7 linked regions of the Callithrix jacchus genome follow. The protein of the gene in region 1 interacts with the protein of each later gene in a biochemical or structural test. Links are inferred from orthologs where the notes say so. Each region holds a gene or a part of one and is shown in the gene's direction. Other genes may lie near its edges. The genes, in order: EP300, SMAD4, DDX17, CITED2, PPARG, SUB1 and ETS1.

Region 1 (3,500 bases):
TTAATCAACTCTACAGAGTTGGGACTAACCAATGGTGGTGATATTAATCAGCTTCAGACAAGTCTTGGCATAGTACAAGATGCAGCTTCTAAACATAAACAGCTATCAGAATTGCTGCGATCTGGTAGTTCGCCTAACCTCAATATGGGAGTTGGTGGCCCAGGTCAAGTCATGGCCAGCCAGGCCCAACAGAACAGTCCTGGATTAGGTTTGATAAATAGCATGGTCAAAAGCCCAATGACACAGGCAGGCTTGACTTCTCCCAACATGGGAATGGGCACTAGTGGACCAAATCAGGGTCCTACGCAGTCAACAGGTATGATGAACAGTCCAGTAAATCAGCCTGCCATGGGAATGAACACAGGGATGAATGCTGGCATGAATCCTGGAATGTTGGCTGCAGGCAATGGACAAGGGATAATGCCTAATCAAGTCATGAACGGTTCAATTGGAGCAGGCCGAGGGCGACAGAGTATGCAGTACCCAAACCCAAGCATGGGAAGTGCTGGCAACTTACTGACTGAGCCTCTTCAGCAGGGCTCTCCCCAGATGGGAGGACAAACAGGATTGAGAGGCCCGCAGCCTCTTAAGGTAAGCACAGTTTTGATTTGTGTGCACATTTGGCACACATGAGTATTCCCATGATGGAGGGAGGGTTTGCCTTACATAGTGAAGCAGTTTCCACATATTACATGCCAGGAATTTACTGTGCTATCTTAAGTTTTAAGAAGTGCATACATTAAATTTAAGTAAAACATGTATTTTACAACTGATGTTGTATAACTTCATATTTCCAAGTGATCGCTGGCTAATGCCGTTTCTCTCTGGCACAAGCATTGGAATGTTTTTAATCTCATTTCCAAGTCCAGTTTAGCCTTGTAGTAGCATCATTATAAAAATACAGTTTGGAGGTCAGGCACGGTGGCTCATGCCTGTAATCCCAGCACTTGGAGAGGCCGAGGTGGGTGGATCATGAGGTCAGGAGTTTAAGACCAGCCTGGCCAATATGGTAAATCCCCATCTCTACTAAAAATACAAAAATTAGCCTGGTGTGGTGGTGCATGCCTGTAGTCCCAGCTACTTGAGAGGCTGAGGCAGGAGAATCACTTGAACCCATGAGGCGGAGGTTGCAGTGAGCCGAGATCATGCCACTTACTCCAGCCTAGGTGACAGAGTGAGACTCTGTCTCAAAAAAAAAAAAAACCAGTTTGGAGATAGCTGGCATTACACTGTCTTCAGATGGAGACTTCATTTGTTCCTATTGCTTTGAATGTCCCTGGTTATCAGGAGATATGTTTATTCTGAGAAATGTATTACTGTTTTTTTTCTTTATTGATGGAAATTAAGGTACATTTGTTTATGTGAAACCTCAATAGTCTGGATGTTTCAATGAAACCAGATCTTGGCCAGAGACTTCTGTTAGCTTTATTAACTAGAGAATGCTAAGTATATTATTTAAAATATTTTAAACTGGCCAGGCGTGGTGACTCTCACCTGTAATCCCAGCAGTTTGGGAGGTTGAGGCAGGCGGATCATGAAGTCAGGAGATCGAGACCATCCTGACCAACATGTTGAAACCCTGTCTCTGATAAAAACATAAAAATTAGCTGAGCATGGTGTTTGAGCCTGTAGTCCCAGCTACTCAGGAGGCTGAGGCAGGAGAATCACTTGAACCCGAGAGGAGATTGCAGTAAGCTAAGATCATGCTGTTGCACTCCAGCCTGGGCAACAGAGTGAGATTCTCTCAAAGACACTTTTAAATGTGTACCCTATGTAGACAAATAAGACATAATTACACGTACTTTAGTGTTTATTCCTCCTTTTTTTTTTTTTTCCCCCGTATTTCATCTTTTTTTTTTTTTTTTTAAATTGAATCACACTGTGGTTGCCAGTGCTTGGCATGTAGTTACTTTTTGTTGAATTAGAGATGGCTTCACTTGGAAGATGGAATTGGAGATAGATATGATTTTCACAAGGAGTCAAGAGAAAACTTTCTCTGTAAGAGGAATAATTTGAGCAGACATTAGGACTTAAGCGTTCCCGAGAATCTTGGGTGCAGTGGCTCATGTCTATAATCCCAGCACTTTGGGAGGCCGAGGCAGGAGGATCACTTGAGCACAAGAGTTAGGGAGCAACCAGGCAACTTTGACCCCATCTCTATTTAAAGAAAAGAGAGAACCTTGACGGTGACAGAATGCAAGTGTGAATTGAAGACAAATTGACAAACTTGTGTTGAGGGGACTGAGGTCACATGTAGGAATTCAAAAGCCTTAAATGTTTTTTTGCTACAAGAATATTGACAAGTTAGGATTAGGTTTTAGCATTAGTGCTTTGTAGAGTCTCCCTTTCTGTCCCCCACCCCCACCACTTTTTTTGTTTTTTTTTAAGACAGATCTTGCTTAGTCACCCACGCTGGAGTGCACTAGCCTAATCATGGCTCACTGCAGCCTCAACCTGCCAGGCTTAAAAATCCTCTCGCCTAAGCCTCCTGAGTAGCTGGAATTGAAGGCATGCACCATCATGCCTGGCTGATTTTTTATTTTTTGTGGGGACGGAGTCTCACTATGTTGCTCAGGCTAATCTCAGGCTCCTCCTGGACTCAAGTGATCCTCTTGACTCGGCCTCCCAAAGTGCTGGGATTACAGGTATGAGCCACTGTACCCAGCCTCTTGACACTTTTAGATTGTTGTGTCAATGTGGTTTACTTACAATATTTGGAATGAGAACCAGAAACAACAAGGTAAATTATTAAGTACCTTTTAAAAGATCTAGAAACCTAGCTATAAAGAGATAAAATCCTTGCCACCAAGGTTTATATTTTGCTATGGAGAGGAGGGATGACAGACAACCCTCATTGGTTGACAGAATACTGTAGTGTATGAATTTACTTCATGTAACCTACTTTCTACTATGCACATAAGATATAAATTTAGAGTATGCCCGGTAAATGCTATGGAGAAAAATTAAGGCTCATTGACAACTGCTTGGGAATGTGGCACTATTCTGGTTATAATCTAAATTTCTTTTAGAAACTGGGTTTATATAGAAGTGAACAAAACAAAAATCCCTATGCTTGTGGAGCTTTTATTTTGATGTGAAGGAGCAATTCAAATTTTAAACTTTCATTAAATGATATTTTATTTCCTCATTTTTATTTTTATCTTGAGACAGAGTCTTGCTCTGTTGCCTATGCTAGAGTGCAGTGAGACAGTCTTGCTCTGTTGCCTATGCTAGAGTGCAGTGGCATGATCTTACCTCACTGTAACCTCTGCCTCCTGGGTTCAGGTGATTCTCCTGCCTCACCCACCCAAATAACTGGGACCACAGGTATGTGCCACCATTCGTGGGTAATTTTTGTTTTTAGTAGAGTAGGGATTTCACCATGTTGCCCAGGCTGGTTGTAAACTCCTGACCTCAAGTGATCTGCCCACCTTAGCCTCTCAAGTGCTGGGACTGTAGGTGTAAGCTACCATGCCTGGGCTTATTTCCTTTTTCTTTAC
Region 2 (3,500 bases), on another chromosome or scaffold:
GGTGTTTTGCTGGCATTTGAAATATGTTTGTGAAGAAGTAAGCCACTAAAATTAGCGAGAAAATGACCTAAAATGGAATAATTTTGAGCTTCATCAAGTTAGGATTTGCCTTTATAGATGACTTCAGGTTTTTTACCTGATAGGCCGTGGGTGAGTTACACTTTTTGCCCATCTTTATAGTTGTGGGCATTATCAGATACAATTGGTCCTTCATTTAGTATATGAAATCATAAGATGACATCTATGAATGTACCGTGTTAATGTCTTCTTGTTCCTCTAGGTCAGCCTGCCAGTATACTGGGGGGCAGCCATAGTGAAGGACTGTTGCAGATAGCATCAGGGCCTCAGCCAGGACAGCAGCAGAATGGATTTACTGGTCAGCCAGCTACTTACCATCATAGTATGTACATGCTTTAAAAAAATCTTTTAAATAGTTGAGAAAAAAGTAGGCAGCCTTTATAAAAGCAAATTAACCCATGTGGGCCTTAATTTTTAGACAGCACTACCACCTGGACTGGAAGTAGGACTGCACCATACACACCTAATTTGCCTCACCACCAAAACGGCCATCTTCAGCACCACCCGCCTATGCCGCCCCATCCCGGACATTACTGTAAGCTCTTGTTTTTGTTGTAAGGGCTTTTTTTTTCTCTTTTTTTTGGTAGGGCTTTGTTTTGTTTTTTCTTTTTTTTTTAAATGGTTTTACATCTTTTATTCATCCTGTGATTTTGTTTCATTAAATAGTGCTTTTCAGTATTTTTTGTGAACAGTATTATTTTTCATAGTTATACCTTTTTATTTTAGAGGAGTAATGTTTGCTGAATGAATTTATTTCTCTGTTGCCAATGTTTCATTAACATCACATTGATTTCCATTCATTTGTTTGTTTGCTTTGTATATGTGTTCTTAGATCTCATGTGTGTCTTGTATATCCACCCATAATGGATTGAAACACTTTGAGCACTAAGTTCTCAAGGTTTCCCTCAGCATAGTATTCAGTGTACTTTGGATAATGTTGAATCTATCAATAACTCTGTGCCAGCATGATTGGGAGGAGTACCATACAGATAGCCTCTAGTTTCAGATAGAATAGGAGCATTGTTCATATGGCTTAGTAAAATCAATCTCATTATAATATTAATAGTACCAAAGAAAACTTAGACAATGTAGAAAAGGGTAAATAAGAAAAGCAAAATTACCCTGAATCCTGCTACTCAAAAATAGCCACTTCTAATACTTTGTCATTTTCCTTCCAGTCATATAAACAGGTATATGTAAATTGACAGAGGGCTCCTACTATATGTGTATTGTATATATCTTGCTTCTTTTCAGTTATGTTACTATTTTTTTTATTTTCTAAGAGAATGTAATTTTTAATGGCTCCCTGGGCCATTATAGTGGTTAAGGGTGTTGGGTTTGGACCTTTAACTGGTTCTGTGACCATTGACAAGTTATTTCACCTCATTAAGCCTCAAGAGTAATATTAGTAGTATCTACCTCAAGGGGTGTTTGTAAGAAGTAAATGTAATAATTTGTGTGAGGTGTTTAGCACAGTGTCTTAACACATAGTAATTATGTTAGCTATAATTTCATTATATAACATCCTTAATTAACATAAGCACTTCTTTTTAGGATAGATCTCACAGTTTATTATACATTGCACTATAAATTATACTGTATTGCACATTACATGAATAATTCATTTATATTCTGTATTAAATACTGGATGTAAAATTATGTATAAATTGTGTAATAGCACGTGGCAGGTAGCACTAAAATATTAGTTATTAAATAGCCACAAAATTATTAATAGTTCAATACGATTTGCTTATTGTAAAGTAATTTAAACTTTTAAGTTCTTAGACGTTGCATAAGCTTGTTTTTAACAACTCTTAACCTATAATAGTTATATTTAAGTAAGATTTACCAAAAGCTTTAGCATTAGACAACTTTTAATAAATAAAAATGGAATTTTTTTGTCTTTTCTTTAGGGCCTGTTCACAATGAGCTTGCATTCCAGCCTCCCATTTCCAATCATCCTGGTAAGTGTATTTAAAAATTGATTCCCTATATTTAGATTGATTTAGTAGTGATTGAAATGCACAAACACAGGTTTTAATTAATTATAGGGTCACTTCTCAGATAAGTACGATACTCATCATGACATGAGTTAATCAAAGAGAGGCTTTAATGTCAATGCATACTGCTATAAATGCATGACCTCAACTAGTTAATGCTATTTTCTAACCACCAGGAGATGTTGGGCCTAAACACCAGTTCTGCTATGAAAAGAATGAATTAAGTCTATTAAGAGGCCAAAGGCAACTGCTGAATCAAAAACAGAGGTCCAAATGACTAGCTAAATGGCTCCACCCCTATCCCCACCTATGATTCTATCTAGGGTAGGTCTCTCTTCAGAGCCGTGACTGCCCTCACTCCTGTAGACTATCTCCGACTAAGCAATACAAACACTGAGATCCCTAAGTTGCCAGGAGCCACTAATGACTCTCAAGGATGCTGCCAGCAAAAAAAGTTCTCATTCTTCAGACTGTAGATTTTCCTTCTTATCACAATATATTCATTCACATGAATCAAGATTCTGATATAGTAATTCCATTTATATAATTAAAAAACAAGTAAAGCCAGATTATTAAACTAGACTGTTAGGAATACATTCATCACTTTAAAGAGCAAAAAATGGCTGGGCACAGTGGCTCACGCCTGGAATCCAGCATTTTGGGAGGCCAAGGGGGCAAGATCACTTGAGGCCAAGAGTTTGAGACCAGCCTGGACAACATGATGAAACCCCATCTCTACTAAAAATACAAAAATTAGCTAGGTGTGGTGGTGGGTGCCTATAATCCCAGCTATTTGGGAGGCTGAGACAGGAGAATCGTTTGAACTTGGAGGTGGAGGTTGCAGTGAGCTGAATTGCACCACTGCACTCTGCTTGGGTGGCAGCGAGAGTCCATCTAAAAAATATATATTGAGATTTAAATTAAAATTTAAAAATAAAACAAGAAAAGTGAATCAATTTAAAGCAGGACAGTGGCTACCTCTGGGGAGAAGGGAAGAGAAGGTCTTGACAGAGATAAAATTCGTGGGGTAGGAGGGTTTCTCGGGTGCTGTAATGTTTTAGTTCTCAATCTGGGTAGTGGTTGCATGAGTATTAGTTTTAGTGAAATTAGACTTTATACTTACTTGTGTTATGTACTTTTCTGTATATTACATTTCTCAAAGTGTTTATGAAAAGGCTAGACCCCTTGACCTACAAAAATGTTTAAAATCGTTTTTACATGTATACAATAAAACACGGAATATCCATTAAAGAAGATAATAATAAATATATATTGTTAAAAGAATGCTTCTGCCCCACTAGCCTCACTTTTTTCCTAACTAGAACAAATATTTGCCTCTTAAATCAGCAAAAAGTTTGTTAAACTATCACATCTACTGCTAGTGAGCATAGTAAAACTAGTTTTCATACTCTGATGCCAATG
Region 3 (3,500 bases), about 17 Mb from region 1:
TCAAGTTAAGCTGTTAATTGCTGACTGGATAAAAACATTTCAGGAGCATACTATACCAGAGTACGATGTGTATATTTAAAGATATGGATATGCTCAAAAGTAAAAGATTTTCTTCAATTTTGAGGTCATTAATTATGTCAGCATTAATTATAAACATGGAAGACAGCATATTTTCCAAGAACTCCATGTTTCAAATTAGATATATAGTGTAGGGTAGTATATCTTAAATAGCCAGAGAAATATGGAGAGAGGAAAAAATACATAAATGGTAATGAGGTTATGATTAGTTTAAAGCGTTACCAGGAACATCACTTTCAAAAGTTTTATTTTTTCGTAGATTATTGAGGTTTGGGTATTGCAATGCAGCAGTAACAATGGAATATTTTATAATTTGCGAGAGTGGTAATCCAAGGACTTGGTACTTCTTGAAAAGTGCCTTATTTAGCTGCTTCATTTGCAAGTGTAGGGGGTGGCAATTGAGGTGGCCTTTTGGTCTGTTCACTATTGCACTATTGAGCCTTAAGCCGAGGAGTACATTAAAGATGTTGTTGACATGTGTATGCCAATGCTATGTGCTCTTCCTGTTTTGATTCTTAATTTGTCTTACTGCCTCAGCAGTGGTATAAAGAATTAGCCACGTTCTACCTGTTGAATGTAGGTATCCAGTGATCCCAATAAAATTTTCCTGTCATCAATTTTTGTTATATTTGTGTTTAGAGGAATATATAGCTGGTTAAGCCAGAGTTCTAATGCTTTGAATTGCAGGAAATTGAGGCCCTATAGAATAATACACCTGCTGCCTGTCAGTTATAAAGTGAAACTTTATATAAGATGATGTTATGGCCAGGCACGGTGACTCATGCCTGTAATCCCAGCACTTTGGTTTTGGGAGGCCGAGGTGGACAGATCATGATGTCAGGAGTTTTTGAGACCAGCCTGGTGAACATGGTAAAAACCCATCTCTACTAAAAAAAAGAAAACAAACAAAAACTAGCTGGGCGTGGTGGTGCACACCTGTAATCCCAGCTAATCTGGAGGCTGAGGCAGGAGAATTGCTTAAACCCTGGGGGGCGGAGGTTGCAGTGAGCTGAGATTGTGCCACAGCACTCCAGCCTGGGTGACGGAGTGAGCCTCTGTCTTGGGGTGGGGAGATGATGGTACAAGTGGGTTAGAGTGGGAAAAGGAACCTAAATTAAGTACAGTATATTACAATGAGTAAAGAAGTTGTCAGTGAAAAAAATGCTGTACAGTTCGTGTGCCAGACACAGCCCTGCACTTCACAAGATTGAAATAGGGAAGATGAAGGCCATGTTAAGATATTTCTAGGAAAAGTAGCTTCTGATTTGTTAAATTTTAGCTTAGGCTAGTGGTCATATTTGTATTCCCCTTGAGCTTGTTTGTTGTGAAAGGTATGTAAAAAGCAGGAAGTTGATCTCAAGTAATTAGTTGACTTTTAAAACCTTAAATAAGTCTTGTTAGTGGCTTTTCTGTCCATTAATAATACCGTTTGGGAACAAGGAGGAGATACAAGGTAAAAGAGACGAAGAAGGAGAGGTCATAAATGTATGTTCAGCTTTTTTTTTTTTTGGAGATGGAGTCACCCTCTGTCTCCCAGACTGGAGTGCAGTGGTGTGGTCTCAGCTTACTGCAACCTCTGCCACCCTGGTTCCAGCTGTTCTCCGGCCTCAGCCTCCCAAGTAACTGGGATTACAGGCGTGCACCACCACTGTTTAGTAGAGACAGGGTTTCTCCATGTTGGCCAGGCTGATCAGAACTCCTGACCTCAAGTGATCTGTCTGCCTCGGCTTCCCAAAGTGCTGGGATTGTGAGCCACTGAACGTGGCTTGTTCAGCTCTTTTATTAGAATAAGCTAAAAATGAAGACCGGTCTACGAGGAGTGCTCGTCACAGTTTAAAGGGGGAAGGGCCCAAGAAGACTGAGGGACATGCTTGGAGTGTATTTTCTTCCTTGTCCACAATCTTGCCTTTAACTGAAACTGAAACTAATGTCATCCTTTGCCTGCCTCTCTGTTACACAAGAGTAGAGACTTGTTTCTGTTTTATTTACTTTAGTAACTCCAGCACGGCACCACTTCAAATAGTAACTGATACATAGTTGGTACCTAATAACTATTTGTTGACTGGAATGATGCTTGCTTGTACTGAGTGCTTGTTATGCCAGTTACTTTTATAGCACATTACACATTATTAGATCTTTTTCTCAGCAGCCTCTGAAATAGGTGGTATTATTTCTAACTTGCATAGGAAACTGAGGTGTGTAGAAGTTAAATAATTAAATTATACAGTAAGTGGCAGAATCAAAACTCAAACCATGTCTGGTTCCAGAATCTGTGATTGTAATCCTTAGTATGTATACAGGAATTTTTTATTTTTCACCTATTATAGCCATACTCATAAACAGTTACTCTTGTTGGGTAGTAAAGGAAGTTTTACACACTTCTCCATACCTTTAAATAGGAGTGAATAACATGGTCTTTTGGAGGTAGGCTGGTAGTAGTCTATCTTGTTTGAATCTTTTTATGGTGTGTAAGATATATTACTTCAAAAATACTGATGAACTAAAAATTCTGATGTTCCTAGATTTGGAGCAAGAGGTGGTGGTGGCCTCCCCCCGAAGAAATTTGGTAATCCTGGGGAGCGTTTGCGTAAAAAAAAGTGGGATTTGAGCGAGCTCCCCAAGTTTGAGAAAAATTTTTATGTGGAACATCCGGAAGTAGCAAGGCTGACTCCAGTAAGTTTGTGTGTGTGTGTTTTAATGTACAGATTATTGAACCAGTAGACATAGTGGTTAGAGTTTATTCATACACTAATGTTGCTGTTTTACATTTTATTCTAGTGTGGTGATATTTTTAAAAAAATTTTTTTTCTTAATCACCTCCCCTTCCCCTCCCCCCCAGAGACTGGGTTTTGCCACGTTGCCCAGGCTAGTTTCAAACTCCCTAGCTTGAGCAATCTACCCGCTTTGGCTTCCCAGAGTACTGGAATTAGAGGTGTGAGCCACTACACCCAGCTGATATTTTTCTTATATTCTTAACTAAGATCAGTAATCCTCATAAAAGGGGGCCAGTTTAAATATGCATTTAATTTGTTATTTGTTGATAATGCTTCCTAATCTATTTATTATACCTGATTGAAACTATTATATATTAGGTCATGTCTTTTCAACTGTCAGTGAAAAAAATATATTGGTGTTGTCTTTTTTTTTTTTTTTTTTGAAATGAGGTCTTGCTCTGTCCCCCAGGGTAGAGTGTTGTGGCGTGACCTTGGCTCACTGCAACCTCTACGTCCCAAATTTAAGCAATTTTCCCACCTCAGCCTCCTGAGTAGCTGGGATTACAGGCACATGTCACCATGCCCCACTATTTTTTTTTTTTTTTTTTTTTTTTAAGTAGAGCCACTGTGCCCAGCCAAAATTTGTCTGTTGTTGTGCCTCATTATCATTGTTTTGGACTTTACAAATGAAATGGTTACTCTTTCAGA
Region 4 (4,079 bases), on another chromosome or scaffold:
TTGCAAATCAATGAACCAAACGGGAGACCAGTCTCCGTGTGCCGCGTTCTGGAAGCAAGGTTATTATTATCGCCTATTGCCCCACTGAACAGTTTCACTGAAAAGGAAGAGTCCCAGCCGTGTGTGTGCGCGCGGTGCCATACGGGACTTGCAGCTACGTGCCCACCTCCAGAACGACTTTATTTACAAAGTGATTACCATGTTATCTATTTGTTTTCCTTTTCCAGCAACAGCAGCCTTACTCAGCCCTCGAATTTCTTAATTACAAACCCGTTTGCTTCTAAATCAACCCCAAACCGTCAAGCAGAGCCCAGAGGGAAGCTGTGCAAGTTTGCACACACCCCCACCTCCCGGATCCAGGGCAACAGCAGAAGCAAGTAACTGTGTATGTGCAAAAAGGTGGATCTGGGGACGAGGATCGCTGAGTTTGTTTACAGAGCAGAGACGCCTCAGCTCGGATGCCAAAGCTACCAAAGCAGCAAACGCAAACTTAGCAGAAGCACACGTACCCCGGGAGCGGCGGGCGGGCCCAAAAGCGCGGGCTGGAGTTCCAGGGTGCGGGATCTGGGGTGGCCGGGCCCGCGAGCGCGCTCGGTCCACCTGCAGCCGCAGCCGCTGCCGCTCCCCGCCCCCAGCTCCTGTCCTTGAAAGGAGTGGAGGAAAAAAAGGCATCTACATGCAGTGATCTAGAGTAGGTCTACCCACTGCCCTTATGAAAACACAAAGGCACAGTCCAGGAAAGCGCGCTCAAGAAAGGGCGCATTATTTGTCCGGGTCTTTAAAACCCAACTACGAGGACGCACAGCCATTCTTCGCAGCCTGGGAAAGCTTTGGCAAAGCCGGCGAGGCAGAAGGGCACTCCGGAGGGCGGGGGCGCTGGGCGAGTCCCCTTTTCCCGTAGAGGGCCAGACAGATCGCTAGGTGAGCGGAGTGGGAGAGCTGGGGGTGGGGAGATCCGGCCAGAGGCGGGCGGTGAGCTCTCCTCGTTCCACTCCGGGCAGGCGCTACCTTCGGGCGGGGCGGCCGGGGAGGATTTCCCCGCTGCCCCGGGGGTGGCTGAGCCGACCTCGCGTTTCTGGGCCGGGAAGAAACCAGAGCCAGGGGGCGACGGGCCCGCAGGCTCTGCGCACGTGCCGCGGGCAGCGGGGCCGCGGCCACCGGACCCGGTCCAGGTGTCCGTGTTGTTCCGGAATCCGCGTCTTCGCGCCGCCCGCCCTGGAGGTTCTCGCTCCGCCCTTCAAGAAATGCTATATTAACTGTGGCCAAAGCCCTAAGAAACACAGCTCATTGTTGGCAGCTGCCGGGCGCTCCTACCGAGCTGTGAGAGCAGCGGAGGGGAAATAAAAGGGAACGGCTCCGAATCTGCCCCAGCAGCCGCTGCGAGACCTCGGCGCCGACATCGCGACAGCGAAGCGCCCTGCACGCCAGGAAGGCCCCCTCTATGTGCTGCTGAGCCGGTCCTGGACCCGACGATCCCGCCCTCTGTCTTCGGAGCAGAAATCGCAAAAACGGAAGGTAAGCGCGACGGGCGAAGCTGGCTGGGGCTCCTGCCAGCCCAGTCCTCCGAGGGCAGGGTTTGCCCGGAGGAAGAGCGTGAGGCGAAGCTGGGGAATAACAACAGGATGTGCAACAACAGGATGAGGAGGGCTGATTCAATGCCTGAAGTTCGCGGCAGGGCTACGGGGCACTTCCTTTATTAGGCCACTTCGGGGAGCAGAGGGGGGTGTGGGCTAGGGTCCTCCCGCCCGATCTCAGGGGAAGGGGCTGTTTGTGTAGTGCCCGGCTGTGTTTCGAGTGGCAGGTCCTCCTTGGTGGCGAGCCCGGGTGCACAGGCTGCTAGTGGGATTTGGGGGTGTTGGTTCGCAGCCGACGTGCGCCCGGGAATCAGAGGCGGGCAACAGTGGGGTGCGCTGTGGTGGGCGACACGTGTGGCGCGGGTCTCATCGTCTGCCCTTTTCACTTCCAGGACTGGAAATGGCAGACCATATGATGGCCATGAACCACGGGCGCTTCCCCGACGGCACCAATGGGCTGCACCACCACCCTGCCCACCGCATGGGCATGGGGCAGTTCCCAAGCCCCCATCACCACCAGCAGCAGCAGCCCCAGCACGCCTTCAACGCCCTGATGGGCGAACACATACACTACGGCGCGGGCAACATGAATGCCACGAGCGGCATCAGGCACGCCATGGGACCGGGGACTGTGAACGGAGGGCACCCCCCGAGCGCACTGGCCCCCGCGGCCAGGTTTAACAACTCCCAGTTCATGGCCCCCCCGGTGGCCAGCCAGGGAGGCTCCCTGCCGGCCAGCATGCAGCTGCAGAAGCTCAACAACCAGTATTTCAACCATCACCCCTACCCCCACAACCACTACATGCCGGATTTGCACCCTGCTGCAGGCCACCAGATGAACGGGACAAACCAGCACTTCCGAGATTGCAACCCCAAGCACAGCGGCGGCAGCAGCACCCCCGGCGGCTCCGGCGGCAGCAGCACCCCCGGCGGCTCGGGCGGCAGCGCGGGCGGCGGCGCGGGCAGCAGCAACAGCGGCGGCGGCAGCGGCGGCAGCGGCAGCAGCAACATGCCCGCCTCCGTGGCCCACGTCCCTGCTGCAATGCTGCCGCCCAATGTCATAGACACTGATTTCATCGACGAGGAAGTTCTTATGTCCTTGGTGATAGAAATGGGTTTGGACCGCATCAAGGAGCTGCCCGAACTCTGGCTGGGGCAAAACGAGTTTGATTTTATGACGGACTTCGTGTGCAAACAGCAGCCCAGCAGAGTGAGCTGTTGACTCGATCGAAACCCCGGCGAAAGAAATCAAACCCCCAACTTCTTCGGTGTGAATTAAAAGAAACATTCCCTTAGACACAGTATCTCACTTTTCAGATCTTGAAAGGTTTGAGAACTTGGAAACAAAGTAAACTATAAACTTGTACAAATTGGTTTAAAAAAAAATTGCTGCCACTTTTTTTCCCTGTTTTTGTTTCGTTTTTGCAGCCTTGACATTCACCTCCCTTATGTAGTTGAAATATCTAGCTAACTTGGTCTTTTTCGTTGTTTGTTTTTACTCCTTTCCCTCACTTTCTTCAGTGCTCAACTGTTAGATATTAATCTTGGCAAACTTCTTAATCTTGTGGATTTTGTAGATGGTTTCAAATGACTGAACTGCATTCAGATTTACGAGTGAAAGGAAAAATTGCATTAGTTGGTTGCATGAACTTTGAAGGGCAGATATTACTGCACAAACTCTGCCATCTCGCTTCATTTTTTTAACTATGCATTTGAGTACAGACTAATTTTTAAAATATGCTAAACTGGAAGATTAAACAGATGTGGGCCAAACTGTTCTGGATCAGGAAAAGTCATACTGTTCACTTTCAAGTTGGCTGTCTCTCCCTCCCCCCCCATATGTACAGATGATAATAGGGTGTGGAATGTCGTCAGTGGCAAACATTTCACAGATTTTTATTTTGTTTCTGTCTTCAACATTTTTGACACTGTGCTAATAGTTATATTCAGTACATGAAAAGATACTACTGTGTTGAAAGCTTTTTAGGAAATTTTGACAGTATTTTTGTACAAAACATTTTTTTGAAAAAATACTTGTTAATTTATTCTATTTTAATTTGCCAATGTCAATAAAAAGTTAAGAAATAACTCGTTTTCTAGAAGTCATTTGGGGGGTGGTGGTTCTCTTTGGTGGCTTTTTCCCCCCCCCCAAGTTGAACACTTTATTGATGAGAGTAAGCATTCCAAAGGATAAATTACAGGACACTAAAACAGGTCATGATGAGCTTAAGCGGAGAGCAGGATTTAACATAATTGGCATAATGCTTCATTGTTATCATTGTAACATGCCTCTTGGTGTGCTTTAATCAAAAGCTGCAAAGTTGTCATAGTGCTTTTTTTTTTCTTAATTGCCATCATATTCAAGTGTACTCCAGAGTTAGAAAGGTTTGCAATACTCAACATTATCTTTTTCAATGGGCAGGAGGGAAAAATGAAGTGTTTCTGTTTATACCTGATTGAACTACTTAAATGGAGGTAGATTAGAATAATATACTGATGGATGGG
Region 5 (4,068 bases), on another chromosome or scaffold:
GACAAATTAGCAAACCCAAGTTTTGCTTTAACTTGGGTTGCCTTAATAAAGATGTTTTGGGGCTTAACGGCACAGTTGCCTAACTCTCTACTTTATTCTGTACTGTTCAGACCTGGCGAGCATTTCACCATCAAGCTCTTGCACCATGATTGACAGGGACACTTTTACTAGTCCTCCTGAAGAATGAATAGTTACTCAACGTAGATTAACCAGATATATATTTATTTTACTCAAGATAAGTATAATTCAGAGAATTATTGCCTTCTAATGTACTAATTGCCATGTGTAGGGGCGTCTTTGAAAATCTGCAATGTCACTGCAATTCTACTAGGCCATTCATGTGACAAGACCTGCTCCCACATCTGTAATTTGGCACAGCTAGTGTTTCTCCTTGCCAAAAAGGGCAAAGGCCTTGAGCAAGAAGCCAGCTTTTTTCCTGATTACAAAACTGACCACAATTCCTCGCCAACCTAATAGCGTATAAGTCTATTTTTTTCTGGTAGTGTGTTCTTCTTACAGAGAACTCCATTTTTTCATTATGACACAGCACTTATCATTTAAACATCAATTGATGTTCAGACATCAACTGATGTAACATTGCTGCAGTTGCAATTGATGGATAAGCTGAAGTTTTTAAGAGAACAAACTGTGACATATAAAATTGAAACCACATCAAACCCTTCTTCATTCTCTCAACTATTTAATTTTACAGAATTTGGATAGCAGTCAGTATCATTTTGGGCTTCACAAACAGTAGAATAAATACCTTAGGAATATAACATTTCAGTAGCATGCTGATACCAATGTTTAAACTATGGATACATATTTGAATTCCAAAGTTTTCTTCAGATAATGTGATTAGAGATTCAACCAGGAATAGACACCAAAAGAAAACTTTGCCCAAATAAGCTTTCTGGTATTTCATAAGCGAGAGATTTAAAGTTTTCCATTTAATAAGCAATTGATGTGAATTTTATGACAATAAAAATGCAAGGCGATATTGAACAGTCTCCGCTCTTATAATTCTAAATACTGTACAGTTCACACCCCTCACAAGACACTCAGCATGTGGGTCACTGGCGAGACAGTGTGGCAATATTATTTTCCCTGTAATGTACCAAGTCTTGCCAAAGCAGTGAACAACATTATGACACAACATTTTGTCAGAGCTGGCTCCTAACAGGACAGTGCCAGCCAATTCAGGCCCAGTCCTTTCTGTGTTTATTCCCATCTCTCCCAAATATTTGGAAACTGATGTCTTAACTGATGGGTGTATTCACAAATTCTGTTACTTCAAGTCTTTTTCTTTCAACGGATTGATCTTTTGCTAGATATAGACAAAATATCAGTGTGAATTACAGCAAACCCCTATTCCATGCTGTTATGGGTGAAACTCTGGGAGATTCTCCAATTGACCCAGAAAGCGATTCCTTCACTGATACACTGTCTGCAAACATATCACAAGGTAAAGTCTCTTCCAGATACGGCTACTGGGGACATGGGGGCATTTATGTAAGGGTAAAATTGCTCTTGTAGTTTGTGTTCCAAGTCATGTTTGTTTTAATATTATCATGTGTACACTCCAGTATTTTAATGCTTAGCTTGCTGCTATGGTGTTCACTTAAAAACATATTCTGAACCTTAAAAAAGAAAACCTAAGCTAATCTGTATTTTATCTCTGTGCATGGCTTCCATTTCCTGAAATTTAAGCATTAAAGATATATCCAAAAAATCTTGTTCATTTTATTTCCTGAGTTTGCATACATTTCCCAAGAAAATGTAGGGCTCTTTAGACTTGAAGGGTCACTTTTTCCTCCTTTCATCTTGTATGTTACAGATCTCTCATAACTGTTTTTATCTCTCTTGCAGCACTTTTATTCTTCTTGAAGTACTCTCAGCTCTTTTCTGTTCTACTTTAAATCTAGATAATTGTGTGTGCACTTTAGCTCTCCCAAAGAATTGTAAGCTCCCAGAGTATGGGGCCAAGTGATGCTCTTCATTAGATTTCTTAGGATACCTCCTAGCATAATGCCTAATGCATTGTAGAAGAATAGCTTGTCGGAACCTTGAAAAATATCTGTTCCAAGCATCACATTTTACACATGAAGAAAATGAGGTCCCTAAATGCCTACTGCATACTAAATAAGTGATTACCTATTACTTCTCTTCAGATATGTCAGAATCAGATACCTTCTTTTCAATATTTCTTTCCTGGCCATTGCAAAATGTAATTTCTATGGCTTCTTCTATTGGAGTTTCTTAGCACCACCTCTACTGTTTGGTATTGTCTCATATCGATGTCTATATTTCTATTCATTTTCTTTTTCTCTTCTCGGAGATTCTGTGTAAAAATAGATTGTTAACTGGTGTGATTCATGTTTTATAATATAACTGCTAAAGCATTAAAATTAAATCACTTAATTGCTGAAATTGATGACTTTACATTTTAACCTTTTAATTTTCCTGGAAGCCTTAAGTTTGGACATATTAATCATAGTTTTTAAAATATCAAGCTTATTAAAAACTAGTAAAAATTGTTTCCTGAAATACTGTTTTATTACAGTCATTTGATTCAACATATATTTATATCATCTAAGCCTCTTAAATAGGAGTTTTGTTTTATTCCATAAAATGCTGTTATTCTGTTTTTCTGCAAGCCATAAAAATTGTTGCTATCTTTCTTCAGTTATTAATTTAGCCTGCCTCAGGGCAAAATGTCCTGGCTATACTATGAAATAGTTCTTGAGTCAAAATTTGATAGTTTTGTCTATTTGAAAAGAACATGTCTAGAATGCAGTACAACAAATATCAACAAATAGGTTAACTGAGAGGCAAGTACTATTTGTGGTGAGGATGGTTGTGTGATTCAAGTTAGTTTTCATTCTCTGCTAATCTCTATTTTTATGCTTTGAATTTACCCTGAGTTTAATTTTTTTTGAGTCTCAATTACCTCTAAAAGAATGATGTAGTACTTTTCTTCCTAATTAACATAATACAGAATAGAATTATTAGCAATTAAAACATTATATTTTATACTAATAATTTAACCCTTGTCTTATAGGGTCTCTGGCTACTTTGTCTTCATAAGCACTGCTTCTCTATTAAAAATGTGAGCTCCTAATGGCCAAAGATCTATGATTGTTACTCCTATTACATTTTATAAATGACCCTTAAGTAATTACTCCATCCCTTCCAAATCAGACAAAAATAAATTGGATATCTGATCATCATTAGCCAAGGCCAGCGGAGTTGGAACACTGTGAAGATGAGGCATTTCACCTGGGTACCGTAGTCCACTTAGTTGCTCCTTCTTCCTCATCATAGACAAAGTGAAATTGGGGTTTGTTGCAAATGGCTGAGTACTGCTACTGAAGAAAAAGTGGCACATTTAGTGTGAATGACTCAGATGTCCAGGTAGATTGAGTATATTCATGAGGTTAAAATCTCAACTACACTTAGCCACTATGCCCAAAGAAGACTTACATACTTTTTCCAAGGCTCCATCATTGCTGTGACCCCTTTATATTGTTCCCTTTTCTTTTTTTATCAAGAGCTCCTCAAGCAACCCCAAATAACCTCATGCTGGCTTTGAAACCATTTCCACTAGTAGAAATTGGCAGGATCGAAGGGAAGCTTCCACAAGCTCAAGCTGAATATGCCTTCTGCTTTTAGTGCCAGACCTAGTCCTGTGTGAATTCTACAATTTTAAGTTGTTGCACCAGAGCCTTGAAGGATGATGACACACTTGTCCTTTGGAGCTGATTGAGCAATGGAAATATGCCTTAGAGACATGATAAATGCTGCAATAGATAGTCCTTCAAAACGAGTCTCTCCTGAGATAGGAGTGAGTGATTGATTGCACACCACTTTTATCAAGTGATACTTAATCTGTGGTTACATAGCTCCAGGCAACCATAGACTCAGAAACATTTAGATAACTGACCAAAGTTTTTACCTTTTCAGAAGTTTAAAGGGATCTTTGTAGTACCAGGGAACATAAGGATGAATCCTGTCTTGGCCACATATTTGCTGTGTGAATTTGAGCACCTCATTTTACTTCTCTGGCCT
Region 6 (3,976 bases), on another chromosome or scaffold:
GTCAAGTAATTCTAGAAAGGAATGTGTGGGGGATGCTTTCACATTTAGTGTTCAGACTTCAATTCTATCCCATGTATTCTTTGCCTCTCAACCCCATTACATTTCAACCCCAGTTTTAATTTTTCCGGGGAATATATAACTCTCTTCTCCTATAAGAGTGGGAACCATAGGTCTAATTGCTTCACATGTAGAGTCAAACACTCCTCCCATTCTGCAACCCACTGCCCTTCCTCAGCCTCTGTAGCATCTCTGGTGTGCAATTCTGAGCTTTGGCAGGATTCCATCTCTACTTTGCAAAATCCCATACCATTCCTCTACCTGAGGCAGGAGAATAGGATTTAAGAAAATAGGAGGGAGGGAACCTAAGGCTAATTCACACTTCAGCTGTAACAGGAAATACCCTCTCCATAGGGTGTTAACGTTGGTTTCCTCATCTATAAAATGGAGAGAATACTCATTCCTACTTTGGAATGTGCTTGTTAGGATGAGTAAATTGCTTCATGCAGTGTCTGACACGTAGTGGGTTCTTGATAAATCTTTGTTAACAGATATACCTTTGTATTGATTATTAGCTGCAAGAGGCATTCATTCAAATACATATTCAAATAATCTTTTAGCTATATTGCTGCTTGTATATGGATTTCTCTTGTCTTCTGTGAACTCCCTTACATCTCCAGGACCTCAATACAGGAATAAGGCATACTCCAAAGATTTCTTGCACTTCCTAGAATTAAACGCTGTGACTTTAGCTTCCTTCCTTTGGAATTTAGGAGGCAGAGTCATGTACTGAGGTGGGTAAAGTGGGGTAGGAAGATCATATCTGGGAAAATGGACCAGAGTATTGATTTTTTCATTATGACCCCTCCGCTTCATTAAATCATTTATTGAGCAAGTGAAACGCTTGGCGCTTGTCACTCATGTTCTATTTATTTATTTATTTATTTAAGCCATCTCCTACAGGAAGGATATTAGTTCTTTCATTCTTTCACCGGTAAGGTGTAATCTTCCAACATCTGACTTTGCCGTCATCCATTGGGAAAAGAGGCGGTCCCTTTAAGGCCCTGGAAAGGGTCTAAGTGTTGGTTTCAGTGGGGAGGCCACGCCCCATCACGTGAACGCAGGCCCAGCGGGGCGGGGTCTGCGTCTCCTGGCTGCCGTCATTTCCGGTTCTCTGTCAGTCGCGAGCGAGCGAGCAGGAGAGTGTGCGACTGCTAGAGCCGAGCGGAGCGTGAGTGCGCGGAACCCTCTACCCCTACTCCTCGGGGCCCCTATCCAGCCCACCCCACCCTCCCAGCCGGGCAGTGAGCTGCCTTCGGCCCTCTGCTCCCCTAGCCGGCAACAGCCGCGGGAAATGGCGGCTCTGCCTTACCTCCCCCTTCCCCGCCTCGGCGTCTCCAGGCCCCCTCCTCCGTCCCCGACTCCGTGCCTGAAGCTCTGTGGACCCTTCCGCACTATACACCGGTCTCCGGGAGCCGATTCAAGGCGGCAGGCGCTGCGGCCTGAGGCAGCGGATTGAGGCCGTCTCGGGGGCGAGGAGCCGCGGGGAGGGGGTCGCGGCGTCCCCGGGACAATGCGGAGGCGGCTGGCCGAGGTGGGGCGCGTGCGGTACCCGCTCTTCCCCCGGCCCTCGCCCTGAGGGGGCGCTCTGGAGACTGGGAAAGCGGATGCGGGCGGGAGTGGGCGGCGGGAGGAGGCCAGGGGAAGAAGCTCTGATGTGCGGGGAGAGGGAACGCTTCGAGAGAAGAAAATGGCGCTTGGTGCAAGTCCCGCCTCTTCCCACGCCGTCTCCTCCGCACTTCGCCGCCTCCCACGCCCCCTCTGACCAACCTGTCTCCCCTCGCCAGAGCGGCTGCTAGCCACGGGGTGCTAGCGGCTTACTGGGGCCGCACGACCCCTTCCCTGGTCTTGCGCTTGTCATCCTTCTGTTATACCGAAGTTGTGTGCCCTTAAGTCCTGGTTCATTTTCACCTCGTTTTTTTCTCATCTTCCCCTCAGTCAGCAAAGGCTGGAGATTTCGTTTCTCTTTTTAAAGTTGCGTTTTGCATAAATTCTACAATAGTGGTTTCAGTGTCAATTACTTGAATTACAAGCTGCTTCCCCCCCACCCCCCACATTGGAACAGGCTCGTTAAGGTAAAAATGTATTTGAAAGTTTAGAGGCTGGCTTTAGTTACCGTTACTTTTCTTCTCCAGTGGACTTCTTGGGTTGAATACCAGGTGGTTCTTTGAGAAGTTCTTGGGCCCCCAGGCAGTTTTTAATAACAGACGGTAGTTATGTTCCACCATTTCAAAGTGAAAAATAAATTATGTTCAATTTAATTACCTTTTAAAAAAAGATCTTTTTTTATTTGTATTAGCATTAAAAAGTGAACTAAATTGATTTTGGAGATTAGGTTGCAAAATGGAGCAGAAATAGGAAAAATGGATAACACGTGGTCATGAACGTTGCTTTTCCCTTCTGAATTTACTCTTCAAGACATCACCAGTTAAAATCAGCATGTCTGGGTTGGGCATGGTTTGAGCTCTTTGAATTGAGTGGCCAGGATTGGGATGGCCCATTTCTTTTACCTTGACCTGCTATTTAGGAACACATGCAACGTCAGTTCTAATGCAGGTTTCGTCTGGAGAGCTAGATCATTTATGATTTTTTTATTTTCAGGAGGAATTTAAGTTTTTTTTTCTTGTACTCAGCAAATATAGTGTGTACTGTGTTTATTAAACCTTTTAAGGCATACAGAAATTACCCATTTATGCCTAGTGTTCCATTATTGGAACGCTAAGCATGTGGGTGTTATTTATGTCTTGCTGCTCAAGGTCATCGCCAAGGTCTGATTGCAAAAATTCAAAAAATTGCAACCACTGGCATAAGTGGGTTAACAGGACCTAATCTCTTCTGAAAAGGGGAGAGCAAAGTTATTTGATAATTGGCATTTGCGATCTGGTATTATTAGTGCCTTGAAAAGAGGTATCCACATATCTTGGAATTCCTTGAAATTTGGGTCTTAGGCTTACTGATGATAGTTTGCTTTCTACAAACTTGCACTTAGTAAACATCCACTTGTAAGCAAGGCACTTAGCTATGTATATCTCTGGGGGGACCAGGGGAGCTACCAGCAGGGTAGGAATTTGAGAGAAGGTTTTGCCCTTCACAGAAATAGGCTGTTCAAATTTTAATTGTGTTCCAGAGTAGAAAAAAATCAGTGTAAAATGTAATGAATTTCTGTGAATGGCATGTGACCTTGGCTCACTGCAACCTCCACCTCCCGGGTTCAAGTGATTCTCCTGCGTCAGCCTCCTGAGTAGCTGGGACTACAGGCTTGCCACCACTCCTGGCCAATTTTTGTATTTTTAGTAGAGATGGGGTTTTACAGTGTTGACCAGGCTGGTCTGGAACTCCTGAGCTCAAGTGATTCGCCTGCCTTGGCCTCCCAAAGTACTGGAATTGCGGGTGTGACCCATCGTGCCTGGCCTGAATTGTGTATAATTTTGTGTACTTTGAATTAGTACGTGTTATTTTGGTAATACGTCTAAACAGTCAAAATTAACATGTAAAATATGAATAAATATATGGAAAAATTAATTAGATGTCACATTTGCATAGTACAGCTAGTTCCCTGTTGTGTAAATGTTGGGGTCCATTCCCTACAGTGAATAACTTTACATTAGTTCTGATCTCATTGGTGAGAAGTCTAAAGCGGTGATAGTAGAATTACATTTATTTTCTGTTTTTAACAGTAATTGTCTGCTGCCTTCTTGCAGTCTACCCTACCCGTAGTGTGTCCTGCCACTAAAACAAAGTATAGAAAGATCCATTGGCTTGGAGAAAGGTTAGATGTGTAGAGTGTATGACATTTAGTTCATTTTTCTTAATGGGTTCACCCTGCATGTTATTTGCAACTTAGAAGAGTATAGATAAATACTTGTGCTCATAACAACTCCAGTTCCACAAAAATGGTAGAATGAACTATGTAACTTGT
Region 7 (3,500 bases), on another chromosome or scaffold:
AATTCAAACTTTCTGACCCAGATGAGGTAAGGAAGGAGGGGCTTGTGAGTTCTGTGCTGAGGAAGGATGAGAGAAAACCCCTACAAGGGGTTGTGTGGATCTGAATGACATTTTCCAGGATTGGGATCCCAGCTCTTCCACTTGCCGCTCCTGGAGCAAGCTAGGCAGCCTGTCTGAGCCCCAGTTTCGTTATTTGGAAAATAGAGAAAATATCTATGTTACCCATTTGTCTTACAGGATTAAGTGATAGGAGGCATTACTGTGCCTGGCAGCAGGTCAGCCGTCACCCACAGAGCTGCCTTAGTGACTCAGCCTCTTCCTAGCTCCGTGGTTCTGTGAGTGTGGAAGGGGCCAGACAGTTCAAGAGGCCTTGGGAGATGGGCTCATTAGTTTCTCCTTTCATTACACACGTGCTTGTGGAGCAGTGATTCTGTGCCACGCCCAATTATGAGGGTTAAAAAAAATGAACAAGAGAGACAATATCTTTGTTCTGGCAGACAGGAGAAAATATTTATGTCCTGGTATGGGAAAAAGAAACACTTCCTGTTGATGAAAGGCAGGTGTGATTGCAGCTCAGCCCCTCCCCTTCACACCCACCTGTTAGATTTCATGTTTGCAAAGCAAGGAGATTTTACTAATAATGTGGGGAAAGAGGAGAGTGTATAGTGTGGCTTTTCTTTTTGTTTGTTTTAAGTCAAATATTTAATCCTATTCCACAGAAGTTTAGGGTCATTGTGTTTTCATCAACTGAAAGAATCATTGTGACTCCCATCGCTGCCCGATCCATCCATGAAAAATGGAATTCAGAAGAGATAAACTAGAAGCATATTTTCTATATCTGCATGAATCTCAAATTGTCTTACTTGAGTATCATGGTTATAGAGCATAGGCATACAAACATATATATTTGGCCAATCTTGTAGATTGTTACCTATTCCTCCTTAATCTTTCTTTTTAAATTTCAGGTGGCCAGGAGATGGGGAAAGAGGAAAAACAAACCTAAGATGAATTATGAGAAACTGAGCCGTGGCCTACGCTACTATTACGACAAAAACATCATCCACAAGACAGCAGGGAAACGCTACGTGTACCGCTTTGTGTGTGACCTGCAGAGCCTGCTGGGATACACCCCTGAGGAGCTGCACGCCATGCTGGATGTCAAGCCAGATGCCGATGAGTGATGGCACTGAAGGGGCTGGGGGAACCCTGCTGAGACCTTCCCAGGACAGCCATGTTGGTTGGACTCTTGAATTTTTAATTGTTATTCTATTTTTTATTTTCTAGAACTCATTTTTTACCTTCAGGGGTGGGAGCTAAGTCAGTTGCAGCTGTAATCAATTGTGCGCAGTTGGAAAAGGAAAGCCAGGACTTGTGGGGTGGGTAGGACCAGAAATTGTTGAGCAAATTTTCGGGAGAGGAAGAAGGGTCTTCTGAGAAGAAGCTTGAAGGCTCTGACTTAAGAGAGGAAGAGACTAATGTGTCCAATCATGTTTAAAAGTCAACCATGAAAAAGTGTCTTCAGTTGTGGACCCATTAGCAAGAGACGTTGTCACATCAGAACTCATGAAACTGATGGAAGGCAATTAATTTGCTTTTGTTTTTAGATTTGGGAGGGCAAAAAAGAGGTGGGTGGGATGAAACATGTTTTGGGGTGGGATGTACTCAAAACTGAGAACTATTTACCTTTCACTCTAGTTTTGAAACAAAGATGGACTTCGGTGGGGAGGGGCCAAAACCATTGTTGTGTTCAAATTTATTGTATTAAATTTTGTGCCAGTATTTTTTTTCTTAAAAATCGTCTTAAGCTCTAAGGTGGTCTCAGTATTGCAATATCATGTAAGTTTGTTTTTATTTGCCGGCTGAGGATTCTGTCACAGTGAAAGAAAACTGTTTATATAGACCCCACTGGAAAAGCAAAACGCTCTCACTGAGATCAGGGACCCCAAATTCATGGGATTTATAAAAGAAGGACAATTCATGCTGATTTGAGTACAGGGGAATGATGTGTGTGAATGTCATCTACAATTAAAAAAGTATTGTCACATCCCTTTACTTATTTGATATTAGTGGATTCTCGGGGTTTGGACTTAATGTTGAGTTAAGAAGCATTAAGTCATTGAACTGAATGTATTTTGCATCCCTGGTTTTGGACCACAGTAAACGTAGGAGCACTGTTGAAGTCATGGAAAGGAAATCGAAGGAGGAAGATCGACTTGGTTCTTTCTTAGTCCTATACCTGTAGCATAGATGACTTGGAATAAAAGCTGTATGCATGGGCATTACCCTTCAGGTCTTAAGAAGTAAGTCCTGAATGCATGTTGTTCTAAATTAACACTCTGTAATTTTTCTTTCATGTCTTATTTTCCAAGAATCCTCCCATTTTTTGCACCCCCTACCCCACCCCCACTCTGTTATTCAGTAGAGAGAAATGTACGGCTTTCTGATTGATGAGTGAAAGGGTAACTGGAGACATGACATAAGTTGAAGACTTTAGACCTGCTGAGTTTTAGAAGCGATGGGAATTAAGAGAACATTTCAATAAAATGTGATTTGGCTGTCTTTGGAAGAGAAGTGCAAGGCTTTCCTTTGAAGAATTTAAATTAGTGTGGTGGGATGTCAGGTGAGACAGTGTATGCAAAGTGAATGGTACAGGTGGTGCTAGGGCCTCATGCTTGGGGCTGATGTCTTGGCACAGGGTAAGTGAAGGTTAATTCCAGAAGAGAGGAATGACTTTGAAGGCAAAGGAAGCAAAGGAAGGAAGTTCAGGGAAGAAAATAAGGTTGTCCATGAGATTTGAATAGATTTCTTAGTTCCCCCAAAGTTTAAATACAAACATAGTCAAGCAAGGTAGTCATCTTTCTTCTGGTTGTGAGGGTGGATCTGAAAATGGAGTTTCAGGGGGAAAATCAACATCTAACTAGTGAGGAAAAGTGCCTAACACAATTAGAATCTCCTCACTCTGTAGTTGCCCAGTTGAAAGGATGAGGAAGAGGGGCGGCTTTATGGACTTCCATGAGAGAAGGGAAGAAACATTTTAGATGTGCTTCTCAGGGCAGGCCCTTTTTGGGATTTGGATGAGAAATAGGAAGTACTAACTACTTTCTAGTATATCTTCAAGAAAGTTCATTGTTGTTTACTCCCAGATCCTTTTGAAGACCCAGAATTATCAGGAACATATAGTTCTGTGATTCATGAGTGTCCCCATACTGATGAATTGGAGCGTCTGCATGGAAAGCAAAGGCAGAATTATCCCAGCTGTGTATTTTGATCTTTTGGATGCAGGTGCCTTAATGAAGCTCTCAAAATATTTTAGGAGCTGCTCAGGGAGTATTGGGTGGAACTGTTTGGACTACATTGTTTTCTCTTAGATTACGTGATTTTGTTGGGCACTGGCAAAAGGTGTGTGTGAATGTGTGCATGTGTGTGAGTGGTGTGTGTGTGTGTGTGTGTGTGTGTTTGCAGACATGCAAAACTGCAGCTGAAATAATACCTGAGATTTC

What was found.
Region 2: the proteins of EP300 (region 1) and SMAD4 form a complex in vitro, tested with the Homo sapiens proteins (2 studies listed by BioGRID, with this or other methods). The link is inferred for Callithrix jacchus from reciprocal best matches to the Homo sapiens genes EP300 and SMAD4.
Region 3: the proteins of EP300 (region 1) and DDX17 form a complex in vitro, tested with the Homo sapiens proteins (2 studies listed by BioGRID, with this or other methods). The link is inferred for Callithrix jacchus from reciprocal best matches to the Homo sapiens genes EP300 and DDX17.
Region 4: the proteins of EP300 (region 1) and CITED2 form a complex in vitro, tested with the Homo sapiens proteins (5 studies listed by BioGRID). The link is inferred for Callithrix jacchus from reciprocal best matches to the Homo sapiens genes EP300 and CITED2.
Region 5: the proteins of EP300 (region 1) and PPARG form a complex in vitro, tested with the Homo sapiens proteins (6 studies listed by BioGRID, with this or other methods). The link is inferred for Callithrix jacchus from reciprocal best matches to the Homo sapiens genes EP300 and PPARG.
Region 6: of the proteins of EP300 (region 1) and SUB1, one has a biochemical effect on the other in vitro, tested with the Homo sapiens proteins (2 studies listed by BioGRID). The link is inferred for Callithrix jacchus from reciprocal best matches to the Homo sapiens genes EP300 and SUB1.
Region 7: the proteins of EP300 (region 1) and ETS1 form a complex in vitro, tested with the Homo sapiens proteins (2 studies listed by BioGRID, with this or other methods). The link is inferred for Callithrix jacchus from reciprocal best matches to the Homo sapiens genes EP300 and ETS1.

What each region holds. Positions count from the first base shown.
Region 1 is NC_133502.1:191,923,654-191,927,153, forward strand, and holds part of EP300 (histone acetyltransferase p300), read left to right. Parts: coding exon 1-591; intron 592-3,500. UniProt on the Homo sapiens protein: Functions as a histone acetyltransferase and regulates transcription via chromatin remodeling. Acetylates all four core histones in nucleosomes. Histone acetylation gives an epigenetic tag for transcriptional activation.
Region 2 is NC_133514.1:94,286,049-94,289,548, forward strand, and holds part of SMAD4 (mothers against decapentaplegic homolog 4), read left to right. Parts: intron 1-280; coding exon 281-400; intron 401-496; coding exon 497-613; intron 614-1,991; coding exon 1,992-2,042; intron 2,043-3,500. UniProt on the Homo sapiens protein: In muscle physiology, plays a central role in the balance between atrophy and hypertrophy. When recruited by MSTN, promotes atrophy response via phosphorylated SMAD2/4.
Region 3 is NC_133502.1:209,415,800-209,419,299, reverse strand, and holds part of DDX17 (putative ATP-dependent RNA helicase DDX17), read left to right. Parts: intron 1-2,600; coding exon 2,601-2,751; intron 2,752-3,500. UniProt on the Homo sapiens protein: As an RNA helicase, unwinds RNA and alters RNA structures through ATP binding and hydrolysis.
Region 4 is NC_133505.1:146,159,913-146,163,991, reverse strand, and holds CITED2 (cbp/p300-interacting transactivator 2), read left to right. Parts: upstream 1-1,279; 5' UTR 1,280-1,515; intron 1,516-1,966; 5' UTR 1,967-1,974; coding exon 1,975-2,796; 3' UTR 2,797-3,659; downstream 3,660-4,079. UniProt on the Homo sapiens protein: Transcriptional coactivator of the p300/CBP-mediated transcription complex. Acts as a bridge, linking TFAP2 transcription factors and the p300/CBP transcriptional coactivator complex in order to stimulate TFAP2-mediated transcriptional activation.
Region 5 is NC_133516.1:69,515,757-69,519,824, forward strand, and holds the start of PPARG (peroxisome proliferator-activated receptor gamma), read left to right. Parts: upstream 1-1,268; 5' UTR 1,269-1,383; coding exon 1,384-1,465; intron 1,466-4,068. UniProt on the Homo sapiens protein: Nuclear receptor that binds peroxisome proliferators such as hypolipidemic drugs and fatty acids.
Region 6 is NC_133503.1:172,693,335-172,697,310, reverse strand, and holds the start of SUB1 (activated RNA polymerase II transcriptional coactivator p15), read left to right. Parts: upstream 1-1,176; 5' UTR 1,177-1,591; intron 1,592-3,976.
Region 7 is NC_133511.1:28,155,287-28,158,786, reverse strand, and holds part of ETS1 (protein C-ets-1), read left to right. Parts: coding exon 1-26; intron 27-965; coding exon 966-1,181; 3' UTR 1,182-3,500. UniProt on the Homo sapiens protein: Transcription factor. Directly controls the expression of cytokine and chemokine genes in a wide variety of different cellular contexts. May control the differentiation, survival and proliferation of lymphoid cells.